Linked DNA regions of Alligator mississippiensis. The protein of the gene in region 1 interacts with the protein of each later gene in a pairwise test. Links are inferred from orthologs where the notes say so. Each region holds a gene or a part of one and is shown on either strand. Other genes may lie near its edges.

Region 1 (8,074 bases):
ACTGTTAATTAAAGCACCAAGAGGGCGACACCCTTATGATTTTATACATGTAAATAAATACAGTGAACTTACTTGTAGCATTAGTTTTTGGCATTAAAACATTATTCTTGACCCTCTTGCTCTAGCACTACTAACCCACATGAAGAAGGGATGAGAGAGAGTTGTATTAGCATCATAACCTCTGCATTGCTCAGGCATCATGGTAGTGTATGGAATAGAAGCAGTAGGACCACTGATAGCTAGCCTATAAGCACACAATTAGATACCGTCCAATCCTACATCTACTGACTACCAAAGATAGTGCTTAGTTCAGTGGCTCCAAAAGGACTACTTGTAAGTAAGTACTTATTGGAAGGATTGGACCTATAGGCCATGTCTAGATGTGCATGGACATTTGGTTCCCTAGGGACAACTAGCGGCAGTGCACCTTGTGCTGCTGCTAGGCCCCAGGAAACATCTGTCATGCACGTGCTGGCACATGTCAAGTTACCCCTGGTAGGATAGGGTAGGCTGAGGCCAGCACTGGGCTGGCCCCAGCAGCCTTACTTAGGGTTCTGGTGGCCTCCAAGGGCTGCATCAGTGGTGATCCTGACGTGCAGAGCCTGGCCAGCAGCAGAATGCAGCTCTGGCTGGCCAGGCTCCACTTTGGCCAACCCACGCTGCCACCGCGTATCACTCCATGTCTTTTCTCTGCAGGTTTTTTTGATCCCTGGTGTCCAGGGGTCAAAAAATCCCTCCGTGCTGCTCCCTTGTGACACAGAGAACAACTGAACGTGTGGTATATAGCACTGCAGACATGTATGCAGCGCCACATACCACATTGCCACGTCCAGACTAGTGCAGCCATAGTTACCTCCAAAATAGTCTCTCTCACTCTGATCCTTTTCCATTTATCAGCCTGATACTATTTATCTATTTTTTCCTGTGAGCTTAATTTGAATAGTTAGCAAGTATGCTTGGTTCAAAGACTCTAAGCAGCAATGTGCCTGAGTTTTATTAATATAATCCAGAGAGGAATCCTAAGTGTATAAGTACTGTGTAGCTGTTCTAATGGCATAATGTGTTTATTTCAGCCATGGAAAATCATGAAAGTTTACCAGCCCAGAACTCATGTTGCTTTCTATGTGAATGATGAGAATTTTAGAGGAAAAACTGTCAAAGCCATATGTAATATATGGCATATCTGTCAAAAACAGACACTTCTGCCAAAACTAAACACAAAACCAGTTACTTTAGGAGCGTGGGCAACTATTAATTCACATGGCTCACTATTTAGTTGAAATTTAACAAATATGCTGTGTTCCAGGGCTCAAGACTTGGAAAACAAATTACTGTGGAACCATTTTATAGTTTAGAAGGCATCTTCTACCAGGTACAAAGTAGCTTTTGAATAAGAACAAATTAAGCACTTACATTTCTTGACAATGTCTTTTTTAATAGCAGGGCTTCAAGCAACCATTGATATACTACTAGAGTAAGAATGCAAATAATGGTACTATTTTACTGTACTGCTGTGGTGCGTTTCATCTAAGGATCTCAAAATTCTCTGGAGACATTAATTAATTAAGCCTTGCAACAACCCTGCAAAGTATTACCACCACAATTTTATAGCAAGGGAATTTATGCACCAAGAGATGGAGAGGCAGACCATGACTGTAATGAACGGAATGTCTAACTCATTCTCTTATCACTAGAACACAATGCTATTCAATTACCATTAACTAGAACACTGGATCAGAAATGTTTGATATACACAAATACACATATGCTACTACCAAAACAGATGCAGGAAATATTTTTATGAATTAAACTTATCACCTGACAAAATGTACATCAGATAACGAGCAGTTTAACTGGTTATTCATGTTCCCTATTTTGGGAAAATTACATATTCTTTAAAATATGCAACACTTCCTTTAATGATTTATAATTTTCATCAGCAATCAGAAATTTTAACCCCTAAAATTAAACTATTTCTTCTAAACAGTATTCTCAGCCTATACAGAAGAAACATCTTTTTCTTCTTGCTCTTTTTCCCACACTTTGAAGAAAATCTCTAGTTTTAACAAGCAGACTCAGTGCTACCAGTGAGAAGGTTATTTCAGCCTTCCATTCAGAGCTTTTAGGTGCTCAGGAAGCCTATTTACTGGTATTCTACTAAAGAGTTATAAACAAGATGTAAATTTTTACATCAACCTGTAAATGGCGTATAGTAAATACTTACCATGATAAGGGTTCTGTTACAAGATTATTATCCTGAGTCTCACATACTCCTATACATACCTTCATTTCCCTTAAGCAACACTAAAATACAATTCATCAGGCACAAAATTGTTCATTACATCACATCACACAGGTGAACTGTAATTATTTTATCTAAAGACACACTAAAATAAGCTTCCTGGGGACATGGAAGTGGTTAGAGGATGGTTTTCAAAAGTTTAGTTACACAGATGACAGGAAGATTCACATTTACTTCAGCTAAAGAATCATTTTGTCCTAACAGGCATGACAAAACCTGTCTTCATTCCTTTCTGTTCAGCTCAGCTAGTACTTCCTGAGTTCCAGTAGTTAATCAGTTACCAGATTCCAGAGCTTTTGTTTTCTATGCCATTTATTTTTCCTTATTTGACGCTGTACTTGTAAACGATCCAGAGCCCAAACCCTCACAAATTTCAGAGCTGTCAGGAGTAGGTTTATTATTTGGATTCATTTATATTTGTATTGCTACTCTGAATTACTTATTACACACAAAACATGTTTGTGAAGCCTTTATTTGGTAAGTAAGGGAAAGTTAATAATAGTTCTTTATTTTTAAGAAACAGTTTGCTTTCAACACTCACCACTAAGTCAGTTATGCATGTGCTAAACCAAATTTTGCCAAGTAAGTTATTCCATAAACCTGCAAAATTTAAAATAAAAGTGTTGGTCTAACAAGAAATAGATAATAGTATCAACATTTAGTACCTTATAACACTTTACCTTATCACAATACCCCTCTGAGATGGTTCTGTCTTAAGACAGTTAAGTGACTTGCCCAAGTTGATACACCGAGTCAATGGCAACACCCTAATTAGTATTCAGATATTCCTGTCTCCTACTACTGTACAATTAATTAGACAATTCTCTCCATTAAATGTTATTAGATAAAGATGGAATAGCTGATGTTTACCTACATACAGAAGTGTCAGAAGTTATACAAATGATGTCACTTAGAAACACAGAAGCTGGAGCTAATGGTATATAGTAAACAGATCCATACAAAAAACATTCACTACAAATTTAAGTGCAGTAACACTGAATTTCAGAGTTAGATTTTCTTAAATTACTTTAAAATTTTTTTTTTAAAACTCACCCTTTTGTTTTAATTGTGAAAGGTTCTGTTCTTGATCAGGGAAGGTGAATACTTACTGCTGACTTCCCCTCAAGCTATAAACCTAAAGCATAAGTGAGATGAGGAATTCACTGTGGACCACACTGAAGAATGCTGAGATGAGATCTGCTGCACCTAAGATATATACAATGTGCAATGGATAACCTAATATGCCTTTCATTTAACTGGCTGGGCAGGTTTCTACATTCTGTAGAACATGGAATCATACCAGAATTTGTTGGCATAACAGGCCTGCCAAACCGGTTTCTCAGTAGAACAGGAACCTGCCCAACCAGTCTGCATCAAAGGCCAGCCTAACATGCTGCAGCTCAACTCAGTTCAGCTAGGCTTCGTAGATGGTGAATTATTCACGCCTCCGTCAACTCCCAGCGCACCACTGATAGAATGATGTAGCCTCCAGCAAAATAATTTGCTGAGGGATGAGGGAGTGATATATCCATGTCAAATCCAGAAAGATCCTATTGTTGTAAACTCTTTCATTGCATTACGAAATGCATTGTTTTAGGAGATTTACTTTTCACTAGCATAAACAGGGAAGAAAACTATTTTAAAGCAATAACAACATAAGTTTATTGTAATTAAATAACACCACATATTTAGCACAACTGTCATGACAAAAACAAAACATTAACAAATTCTGCTCTCCTCTTAAGACCTCTCCCCATCCATAGATACTATCTTACCTATTGGAAACAAGTCTTCCCTTGCATATAGAGAAAGGATGCTGAGAGAGCTTGCACAGAAGGTTTGAAACTCATGTTCTCTGTAGGGCTGTATCTGCCCACATGTCATCTGGTTCTGTAAAAAGATTTTCCAGGGTTAGAGGCAGTGCAATGTGTGTGCAGTGCACCCACCCCTGTGCAGAACTACTTAGATGTCATCACCCTTCTGTGGTAGAGAGGACAAAGCTGCTGGGCATGCTACTATAGCACCCTGCAGTAGGAGCTACAGTGCAGCCCCTGGATAGTGTGGGGACAAGAATACTTACAGAACTGCTCTGAGCAAAGCCTATGTATTCTAGCTATATGCAGAGACCAGGATTTGCCTGGTATTACCTTCTTCCAAACAGGAACACAGACCAGAATTTATACAGTTTGTTACATGATTTTCAAAGGTGCTAAGTACCTCTGTCTTCTCCTGAAGCCAATGGTTGTAGATATTTAACACTCATAAAATTAGACTGTATTTACCTAAGGTGAGGTTTCTAGAGGCATAATTGGGGCTCATTTAACTTTTACTTAAGAGCCTCACTTTAGGACCAGTACTTAGGCTTGACAAAGGCATTGGTAAAGTTAGAAACATGTACATTTATTCATGATGTAACCTAATCATGGAATTTGTATATACTTCTTCAGATCCCTACTTGTTATTTATGAATTTTAATAGCTATTCAACCTCCAATGCTTAGAGCAGAGGAAATAAGCCTCACCTTTAACCAAGCTTATGCAATGCAACCACTTTTTCATCATAGCCCAGCATAGATCAAAGCAAGGAATGGAGATGTTTGCAAGAAACCTACTGAAGTATCTGTTGTCCTGTGTGAAGGTAAAGCTGAATGTGAGGCTATATTTTGTGAAGTATTTGGAAAGTAGGAGCTACCACTGGAGAAGGCAATGAGATTCCTAACTTTCAGCCAAGTTGACAGATGTTCGCTGTTTATGCTTGCAGTCATACCACCTAAGGCTATGATTTTATGCAGCTAAGCAGGGTTGGGTTTGGTCAGTACTTGGCTAAGAGTCTTAACAAGTAAAACTGCCGCAGGAAGTGGTTTTGGTGATTCAGTAGGCGGTACTGAGTAGTTATGAAGCAATGCAAGCATTAGACAGGGAGTACAGAGTGCTAAAGGTACCATATTTGTGATAAAATATGAAACAGAAGATGTGGAAACTTGGGATTTTTAATTATTTCCTAGCATTTTTCACATAAGATGTAGATTTTTAACAAGTATCCTTGTCAAATTTGAAATAAAATTTCTCTGGAAGTTTCAATTGGAGACAGTATTCTTCATTTTGTTTCCCAAAATGTTGTGCAGTGCTGCTGAGCAGTACTAAATGGCTGCTACATTCTTTCCAGAAATGGGTCTATTTTTAAAGTGGTTAATTCAATCCTCTTTATTGTATTTAAATTGTAAAGTGTATTATTTAGATTGTAAAGATATATAGACTCATTAGAAGTGTTGCACATATACTTGATTTCATACTGAATATGAAATATACTGAGGAAAAAATCATATGATTTATTTGATTTTGGTATTTCTAATGTTGGCAATATTATATCACCTAACAGACTGAGGTATATTTTTTAAAGTTCATCCACAGTTAGTGTTAATTTTAGAAATACCTTATCCTGTTAAGAGTTTGACTGTAATTAACTCCTAGAACTCATTGCCACAAGGTATTGTAATGGCTGATAATTTAATCAGTTCAAGAGGGAACTGGAAAAAATCAGAGGTCCATCAGTTGCTATTAGATATGTTAGTTTTGAGTCTAACCTCAAAATCAGGATTTCCTAAACATCTGAACCTGGAAGCCACAGAGGAGAGGGGCAGGGGATAGATCATCTGGATAGGTTTCACATAAATACTCTGGCAGACAAGGTTCTTTGGGTAAATTGGATGTCTTTTATTAAACATTATTTTTCTTTTTAAGCTTTTGAGCACAAACACCCTTCTTCAGGCTGAGAAAGCATCTGCAATTGGTCTGTGGTCTTCCTGGTTGGAATGAATAGTAAAGCAGCCAGGGGCTGGTATACATGCAAGAAAATCAGTCAGTGACTATGTAAGTTGAAGAGTCAATGGGTGAGAGAGAGGCTGGGGGTGGGGAGGGTGAATGTAGCTGGTAAATAGTGGAGAGGTACCCGGGGAGTCAGATGTTAGGCAGGTATATGTCATAAATCCAATGTCTATACTTAGTCCATGATTTTTTGATCCAGTAGGTTGATGAAGTGAAGTTTGTAGGCTCATCTGTGAAAGGTATTTTGTAAATTCCCTTTGAGGATTAGAACTGAGAGACTGGAGAGAGAGTGGTTTTTCTTGTGATAAATGTGCCCCCACAGGTAATTGGGTATTCTTGTCTTTGATAGATTACCAGTGTGTGTTCATTCTGGTACACAGTTGTTGTTTCGTCTCTCCTATGTATTTTCCATCAGGGCATTTGGTGCATTGGATGAGATATAGGAGGTACAGCTGTGAGATCCAGGAATGCTGAAGGTTCTGTTGTGGGGGTGGTGGAGATATATTGTCAGGTTTTAGATTTCTTGTCATGGCATGGCCTGGATCCATTCGGTGTGTTTTGGGCCTTGTTTGCCTATGCTCTTAGACCAACCTAGCTACAACCTATACCTCAACACATAAATACTCTTACCCTGAAGCATCTAGTCATGCCATGGTGAGAAAGAGACTACTGAATTAGATGGATCTGTGGTCTAACCCACTATGGCATTTCTTACATTCTTATGTTTTCTATATACATAATGTATGTTTTTGGATGATTAAGGACAAGAAATCTGTGTCATGTAGAAGTTTGGTTTCCAAAAAGAGAAGTGAAATAAAACTCTTTCTTTTCACTAAACTTCAGAAAGGACGTGGACAAGTTGGAGAGAGTCCAGTGGAGGGCAATGAAAATGGTTAGGGGGCTGGGTCACATGACTTGTCAGAAGAGCCTCAGGGAACTGGATTTATTTAATCTGCAGAAAAGAAGATTGGGGGCAGGGGGAGGAGAGAACTTGATAGCAGCCTTTAACTACCTGAAGGGTACTTACAAAGAGGACGAAGCTAGACTGTTCTCAGTGGCAGCAGATGACAGAACAAGGAACAATGGTTTCAAGTTGCAGCAAGGGAAGTTTAGACTGGATATTAGGGAAAACTTTCTCACTAGGAGGGTAGTAAAGCAGTGGAACAGGTTACCTAGAAAGATGGTGGAATCTTCATCCTTGGAGGTTTTTAAAGCCTAGCTTGACAAAGCTGTGGCTGGAATGGTCTAGTTGGGGATGGTCATGCTTTGAGCAGTGGATTGAACTAGATGACCCATTAAGGCCCTTTCCAACCCTAATTTTCTATGATTCTATGAATGACAAAACTGCTGAAGTGATATTTTCAGCATATTCTTTTAAAATAGAAATGAATTATTCTAAACTTGTAATCCCTCAGTGTGGATTTTTAGGCACATTTCAAATCTAACAGCTGGGATTTATTATTTTTTTTACGTAGCAGAGCTTAAGGGCTCTGGTGGTTAACAATCTTATATATGCTTCCTTTGACATGGCAACTTATAAAAGGGTGAAAACTAGGGGTGCACTGATAGAGATTTTGGGGGCCGATACCGATAGCCGATATTTAAGGAGGCATATTGGCCGATACTGATCCAATATCCAATACAGCTGCCATCAGGTGGTAGATCTGGTGTGGTGGAAGGGGAGAGGGGAGGGAAAGGGCTTGTGGGGGCAGATCAATGCTCCCTGCGGTGAGGGAGGGTGCAGAGCAGGCTCTGCCCAGCTGGGGTGGAGGGGGGCGCGGGATGGAGGCGCAGCTCATGGGGTGGGGGCAGCTCCCACCACCACTTGCATCCTGGGAGGCTGGGGTGGGTCCCCAGATCTGTGTGGTGCAGGGCGGGCTGCAGCTGCGGGGTGGAGCCGGCACTGTGTGGGTCTTTTCTTGCTGGGAGCTGGGCTTGTAGAGGGCGC
Region 2 (8,006 bases), on another chromosome or scaffold:
CTTTAGGTTTGAATATTCAACTGCAATAAATCAGCATTGCTCCATATCTGTCAACTGGGGGACCTGGCTCTAATTTTTTTAAGCCCTCGGACTTTACGCTGTTTCCCTGCTTACACCTAAATTCACAAAAGTCTTTGAGGCAGAGCTCTCTACCTGTACCTTTATGTGGGGAGCAAATACAGGGCAAATGATCAATTTAAGAATATTTGGCAAACCACTTGCAGAACAGTTATAGAGTATAGATAAAACCCATTTAAGGGATGTGAATTTTCTGGTAAGATGATTGACTGAGGTATTTTTATAAGAGAAACTGTTTCTATTCTTCAGTAAGTAAAAAGATGATTTCTGTGTTTGACAGGAAGTCATGTTGCATCCATATAAAGGGAGAGCAACATCCTCTATAACAAGGGTTGCCAACCTGCAGCACAAGTGCCACAGGCGGCCTGTGTGTATGGCTCATGGCAGATCAGGGAGAGGAGAAGCAGCACAGTCACAGAAAGCAGAGCTGGAGACTGGGCAAAGTACAAGGTAGGGAGCAGAAAACAGAGCACCAGACCAGGCAGAGCATGGGGATTAGAATGGCACTCAGAGGGGTACATCTACACATGAGCAATAAACTCGGCAGTTTTTTGCTTCCAAGTTTATTGCTCCTGGGAAGCTCCCTGGCACGTGGTTTAGATGCGTGCCCAAACTGCAGCATACCGAGCCAGGTCTGAGCAGCCTCGGCTGGCAGGGAGTCAGGGGGGTCAGCCTGCCAGCCTGGAGCTGCTCTGACCAGGCTCAATGTGTTGCACAGGGGCTGGATAGGGCACAAGTGTGCTCCAGTGTGGGGCAAGCCAGCAGACAGCCTCTGCACTGAAGCACCCTCATGCCCTAGGCAGTTGGGTCTGAGTCTACACATGTGCAGCTGTGCACAAAAAACTGCTGCAGGGTAGGACTTGTAAATACTCTGCTGCAGAGTTTATATTAGTTTCCTGCATCCTAACAGGGGTGCATGTCGAGACACAGAGACATTTACTGCAGAATTAATTGGTCAGCTTTACAGTAAATGCCTCATGTAGGCACACTCAGGGACAGCACAGGGCCAATTTGTGGCATGCCTGCCAAAAAGGCTGGATGCTGAGTATTACTTTACAGGTATTAGTGTCCTCAACTCCAACTGACTTCCTCTGTACAAAACTTGCGTCGGTTCATGGTATTACATTAACACAGATTGTGAACAGATCTGTGATTCAAGGACTAGACTCCTAAATCACCTCAAGACCCATCAATGAGCCTTGGCAGAGATCATCCTTGAATTGAGGGAGTGCCAACAATAATTAACACAGTTCTTATTAAATGGTTCCAAACTGAGGAACTATATTCTTTATACCAGTAAGTCTCAACAAGGAAACTGAGAGATCTTTTAAAGGGTGATATTAGCACTGTTAGGTGCTCCAACATGATTCATAAGATAAAACCAGTGATTTCAAATAGGAATCAATCGTGTCAGAAACCTTCTATCCTGCTGTGGTCGTTTTGAGTTCTTTGCAACAGAATAATTGCTCTAGTATTTTTTATAGTCACAAAACTAGTAAAAACCAACATTTTCTGAGGGGTGCTGTCTAATGAGGGGTGCCTCAAATCTGAAGAAGTTGAGCAGCACCGTACATAGACTCCTGGTGGCCCCACACGAACTTTTAGTATCAGGCCCCGCTTCGCCAGAGATAATGATACTATTAATAAAAAAATGACCATTTTCAAGCCCCCTATTTGTCTGGGCCCTGGGCAGCTGCCCGGTTCGCCCATGCCTGTGTTCGGTCCTGAAGCTGAGAACTACTACCTAACACTACACCACAGAAAAATAGCAAGCCCTGCTTAAAACAGCACTTGCCTGGTTATTAGTAATCTGCTGGTTTTTCTATTCTACAACTCTTTTCAGAAGAGGGTGACAGTAGCTGCATTTTCCACATAAACCTCAAGAGTATCAGATCAAGAGTATTCCATTTCTCACAGGGTTTCAAGCAAATGTACATGTGTGTGCACGCATGCACGCACGCACAAATAAGAAACGTAAAGAATGTCTAGCTGTATTGCTAACTGCCTCTCTTCATAAACTACTTCTGTCAAAACTATTGTGCTTTTTCAAAGGGAAACAGGTTATTTCACACCCTATCTACTGAAAAAGTGTCCAGATTTGGTGTGAATATTGAACACAGTATAACTTGCAACCTTTTCTATAGCTCAACAGCTTTTGCATAGAAAAGGTGAACAGATATTGTACCTTAGAATTTAACTTCAAGCATTTCTTGGATACAAAGTACTATCTAACCAGAAGTAGTTGGTGAAGAAACTTCGAAAAGCATAGCTTTTAGCAAAACCAAAAAAACCCAGAAACAAACAAACAAACAAAAAACTCCTCGCCCTCAAAGCTTTCTTTTCTCCCTGCAGAACTCTCAAATACTTAATTCACTTTACTTTGAGAAATGTCAAAATTTCCTAATGGCAACATAAGCTTACTATTTGTTATGGTAATCAATAATTATCCACCAAAATGTAATAAATAGAAAGTTATGGTACCAGTAAGATCATTTGTACCTTTTCCCCCAAAATTTGTACAAACTAATATCCAAGTCTCACACACATAATTTGATTTGCAAGTGCAAAATAGTTCATTAAAAAAATCACGTGGGGATGAAAACTACCAATTAATCAATCACAACAAGTGGAATTGCACTAGAGAATGGATCAATCCTATTCTATACAAAATAAAACGAGTAAAGACAACTACAGATGTTAAAAGGTGATCTGTCAAATAACATCCAAATGCTGAGCAAGTGAACTTACGATCTTGCGTAAAAGTCACAAAACTCTTTGTATACTTTTATTTCACTGTGCCTACGCTGTAATTTTGACACTGGTTTTTCGCCTTCATTTCCTCTGATATTGTAGGCATCCTGAGGGACCTTGTGTGGAGCGTCTTCAGTCTCTGGAATCAGATAGGAGCGAGCTCTGCTTTGGAATTCCATCCTTCGTTAACTATTATGAAAAATCCACTGTAATACTCAAAAGGAAGCTGCAGACAAAAATCCAGAGAAACAATACGCAGGAATCCTCCTTGTTCCCAGGGAAGTGATTTATTTTCACAGTGTCATGTCAGTTAGCTCGGCTTGTCGAGCACTCTGGTAGAGCTTCACGTTAAGAGCTCAGCGGCAGAGCAGCTAGAACGTCATGCTGCTATTTACTAAGGGGTCATTGGAAGCTGAGGAACACATTCCATTACAAGGTTGTAATACAAACTTGGACAGTACATCAGGGCTTCACTATCTATTGCCGATAGAAGAATTCTAGTCAGGCACAGAAGAGCTATTTTATGAGTAAACCTGTGCAAGTGAACACATTCATTGTCAAGCTCATCAAGTTACTAGAGGAAAAAAGTACTAGGTAGAAAAAAAATGACCACAATGCTACTTTATCATGAAAACACTAACACTGAAAAACATACAAGAAATATTTTGTCACTAGATGAAGATTGTTTTTAAACTTCTGGCAAACTAAATTGTAAAAATAGCCTTTTGCACTACTAACGAGTCATTCTTAGTTAAGTAGTCTGAGATTATAGATCAACAAGGACTTAAACTGCAGCAAGGGAAATTTAGATGGATGAACTCTCTCACTAAGAGGGTGGTTAATCACTAGAACAAACTACCTAAAGAGGTTGTGGAATCTCCTTCATCACCACACATTTTTAACTGAGAGTTAGGCAAACACTTGGCTAAAATGGTTTAAACCGAGGTATCAAAGGTATGGCCCATGGGGTCCAACAGCTGGCCCCTGCCCCTGAGTCTCGAGTTGAACCACGTGAGGTGTGCACTGGACTGGCCCCATGCGTAGGGCCCAAGACATGCCAAATGCGATGCCTGCTCCAGCCAGTGTAGGACATGCATTGCATGTGCAGACCACTCTGAGACCTGCACTACAAGCAGCACCCGCACACAGCCAGTTCAGGACCCCTCCGCCCGCCACACACCAAATCTAATAGCCGTGGCGCTTGCTCTAGGACTGTGCTGCACAACCGGTTTGGGACATATGCTGTGTGTGATCCACATCCCAGACTGGCTGGAGCAGCTGCTGTATCTAGCATGTGAGGAAGGGCATGGGACTCATTTGGCCTGCAGGGCTGGCCCTGAGTTATTCACCTGGCCTATGCACTGGTCCTGTGCCACTCATCCAGCCCATGGAGCCTGATCACTTTGACACCTCTGGTTTAAATAGTCATGAGTCTTCCTTGATCAGAAAGGGCTGTCCAAGATCAGGGGTTGGTATCCTATAGTCTCTGGGCTGTAGCCAATGGATATGGTAACCTACAGTCTACTCTGCAGAGCCTATAGATCCAAGAGGACTCTAGTGGTATTCATGGAGCAGGAGGGCCTCATTCATGCTATGTTGCATTGCAGCTAGGTAGAGTGTGTGGAGGTTATTCCAGCCTGTCACCACAAAAAGGCTACCAATTGCTGGATTAAATGACTTCTTAGTGGTTCCTACCAACCATATTATTCTGATCCCATAACAATTTTCTTCCTAGAAAAGTAGAGGGTTTTTTTTCCATTTTCCTTTCATTAACAGAATTGCCAAGAAAGGTGTAGTTAACTATGTAAGAAACAGTGATAACAAACTTGATTTTCAGTTACCAGGCTGTGCTTGCAGCACTGTACTCATAGAAAAAGTCCTATACAGATTGGAAATCTGAAAAGGGAAGAGAAGAGAGAAAACCATCCTGTTATCACATGGATGACAATTCCTGATGCTGAATGACACCATTTTTTCATATTATTTTAATGCTACATTCTTCTTAAAAACAATATCATTTTCCATGTTCTACCAATGGCAGGCCTCTTAGAGTAGTTATCTCACCCCAGGAGATTATGCATCTTTCGGTTCCATAGGAAGGTCAGATAAAGTCAGGACTGGCAGCCAGTAACTATGCTCTCTTGCCATACTCTAGCTGGTTAAAATCTGATACCTGTGACACAGATGACAGGCCCAACCTCTAACAGCTTTGGACTTTCAAACTGAAATGGATAGCCCAAGTAACTAAGTGATGTGTCACAATCAACAGACTCTCATTAGCAACTGGTTAAAAATGCACAGTAAAGCCACGCACAGGTTACATTGTCGACAGGAGTGGTTTTGGTATCTATGCTTGTTACTGTGTAGCATGAGAAAGCCAGGGCAGAGATCAGGGAGAGACTAACTAGGAACGAACACTTGAGCTCGCAAACACAGAAAACTGACAATATTAAGGGAACTCCAATAAAGCTTCTGTTTCTTAGGAAATGCCAGTGGCTTTAAAAAAAAGGAAAGGCCCTGTTTGTACTACAATTTTTGACCATGTTGAAAATAACATCGGCACAGCTGGCTGACTCTAAATAATGTTCGAGGCAACATTGAGTATGGTTAAAAATGGCAGCAAGACACCCTAAGCAGAGGCCTAGTCTGACACTTGGCTGTTTTTCTGCCACCAAGCTGTGTTTTTGCTGTAAGGGACAAACAGAGATGTTGTGCAACTGGTTTGCGCCTGTCCTACATCCACTTTCTCTTGGCTGTATGACGCTCTGGAGCATGCTTCCCCCATGTGCAGCTTGCAGTTTTCTGTGGGCAGGTCCTACAGGCATTCTAGCCACAGACTAAAAACTCACTGGATTGCAGCCTGGGGTGTCACAGGACATGCCTTTAGCATATGGCTCAGCAGAAGCACTGGGTCACACACTCCAACATGGCTTTGATGCCAGAATTGCTGTCATGTAGACACAAACTGAACCTGACGTGCTACCTGTCACTAATTAAGGAGGTGAGATTTTTTTTAAAGTACTTAAAAGACACTTTACCAGTATAATGGAGACAGGACTTAGCACCACCTGTACTTCATATAATGATGTCTGAATCAAACATTTTTCCTCCCCCGTTCCCACGCCCCCACAGTGTAATCTTGAAACAAAATATGTGGCAGGTGCATGGACAGGAGACAAAATCTGTAGCTGTTTCTGTGGAACATTTACAAGTACTTTAATCTGTTAGAGCAGGAGTCTGCAATCAAAAGCTGCAGACATGCGGCTTTGGCAGCATTTGGCAGTAGGGACAAGTGAAGGCTGAACCCTCTCCCTGTGGCTTCAGACAGAAACTGCGATGATGGGAGCAGGGTCCTAGTGCCATCTTGACACACACTGTTCCTCTACTAAGCCTTAGTGCCACTCTTTTATTGATTAATCCTGCCCTTCCTGTGGAACTAAGAAGGCAAAGAAGCTTCATCATGATACTGTATCATTAACCCAGGGCTAGCGTGCATCAAGAAGTAGTCTTTGTCACAACCCAAGGGTGTGATTTTTGTTTGTGTGTGCTTCGGCACTGCTGAATTATTTCCCGCCACTTGTAGCTTTCTTTGCAGGGTTGCAACACAGAAATGCACGTTGCAAGGAGTTCCCGCCATTTGTATTCAAATTCGTGCCCCACTATTGGTCAGTTCTAAATTATTCCTACGTGGTGGCTAGCGATTGGCTTGCTAGCCATATAAGAGGCTTGAGTGGTTTCCGCCCAAGTTGGAGGACTCCACGAACATCAGGAGGAGGAGACTTCACGTCTCGTGAAGATCTCTAAGCGCTGCGGAGCCTATTGGACCCAGCGTGTATTTCAAGAAGGCTATAGGGGTCTGATCAGCCTCTCGCCTCTCCCCGTCGCCGCCTAATCCCTTGACATACCCTTCCCTGTGCGCACAAGTTCCACGGAGCCTAGCAAACTTCGTGTGAGTGAATCCAGAGCTCTGTCCGAGTCCTTAAACTGGGACTTAAGCGAAGTTTTCCTGGAAGTTTTCCAGCCTGCACCACGACCATCTACAGTGTAAGTAAACAATCTTAAATCAACCATTAAGCGTCTGTGCCTAATTCTAGCGTGCCACCTGCCTTCCCCGACCCGGCGTGTCCGGGCTGCTGGCCACAGCCCGCCGCGCGAATAAAAAGGGCCTCGGACTGCTCCCGGCCCGCACAGTCTTAACATGGTGCCCATTGGGCACCATTAGGGTTTACAGTTTCCCAGTTTATGAATTTAAAAAATCCTCCTGGATTGTAAAGCATTCATCCAGGGGAATAAGTTCAAGGTGCAAACAAAAGCACACAAAAAGGGCCAAACTGTATTTGTACTGGTAAGGCACCTCCCATTTAAATGTTTTAACACAGAGTAAAGCCTGGATATCAGAAGCATTTTAGAGGTGGAGAAAAGTAGCAGTGGCGGCTGGTTTGGAAGTGCTGGCCTTTCTGGAACTGAGCTGTGTTATTTCAGCCTGATGCTCTGAAAAGCTTGCCAACCTATGGACTAGAATAAACACCTGTTGTTTCTACAGGCTAAGCTCATTGGAAATGCCAAGATTCCTTTGTTTCCCTCTATTTTTCTTGCCCACGAAGCCCTCTGTATGCTACTTTCCCATCCCCCTGTATGCCTGTGGGACCCCAAAAGCCAATCCCTCCTCATACCAATGGCTCCTACGTGTCTCTTCATTCTGCCCCTCCCTGAATTTCCCCTTTCCTATCTGGGGAGGAGAGCGATGCATGGCCCTCATTTTCCCTTTCCACTGTTATAAACAAATGGATAACAGAGGCACATCTTCAAGTGGAACAGAAGGCGCAGCAAGCTTGTATTATAAAGGAATAACTGGCCAGCTGTCAGATGCATTTTGTATGCTAGATGCTTTTACAGTTCCTAGGCCTCTTCATTCAGTAACAAAATGGCTTTCTGGCAGGTAAGCTCTGAGTGTTCAACTGTGAAAGCTCTAGGCCAGTGATGTTCAATCACAGTGATGCTCAATCAATGTGCCCCAGCCCAGAAAATAAGGCAGGTAAGAGCAAGCTCAAGCTCTCTGGGTCTAGCTGCTCCCCTTGCCCAGCTACCCAGCCTCACTGCAAGAAGGGAAGCCCTGTGATAAAATAAATGCGTTTTTTAAATGAGGTGTCATTCAATTCATAAAAGGTACGGAGGGG

The links.
Region 2: the proteins of RBBP8 (region 1) and LIMS1 interact in a two-hybrid assay, tested with the Homo sapiens proteins (2 studies listed by BioGRID and IntAct). The two-hybrid records come from large-scale screens. The link is inferred for Alligator mississippiensis from reciprocal best matches to the Homo sapiens genes RBBP8 and LIMS1.

Annotation. Positions count from the first base shown.
Region 1 is NC_081826.1:87,333,726-87,341,799, forward strand, and holds the start of RBBP8 (DNA endonuclease RBBP8), read right to left. Parts: upstream 3,510-8,074; 5' UTR 3,356-3,509; intron 2,903-3,355; 5' UTR 2,844-2,902; intron 1-2,843. UniProt on the Homo sapiens protein: Endonuclease that cooperates with the MRE11-RAD50-NBN (MRN) complex in DNA-end resection, the first step of double-strand break (DSB) repair through the homologous recombination (HR) pathway.
Region 2 is NC_081824.1:349,550,458-349,558,463, reverse strand, and holds the start of LIMS1 (LIM and senescent cell antigen-like-containing domain protein 1), read right to left. Parts: upstream 3,157-8,006; 5' UTR 3,009-3,156; coding exon 2,827-3,008; intron 1-2,826. UniProt on the Homo sapiens protein: Within the IPP (ILK-PINCH-PARVIN) complex, binds to F-actin, promoting F-actin bundling, a process required to generate force for actin cytoskeleton reorganization and subsequent dynamic cell adhesion events such as cell spreading and migration.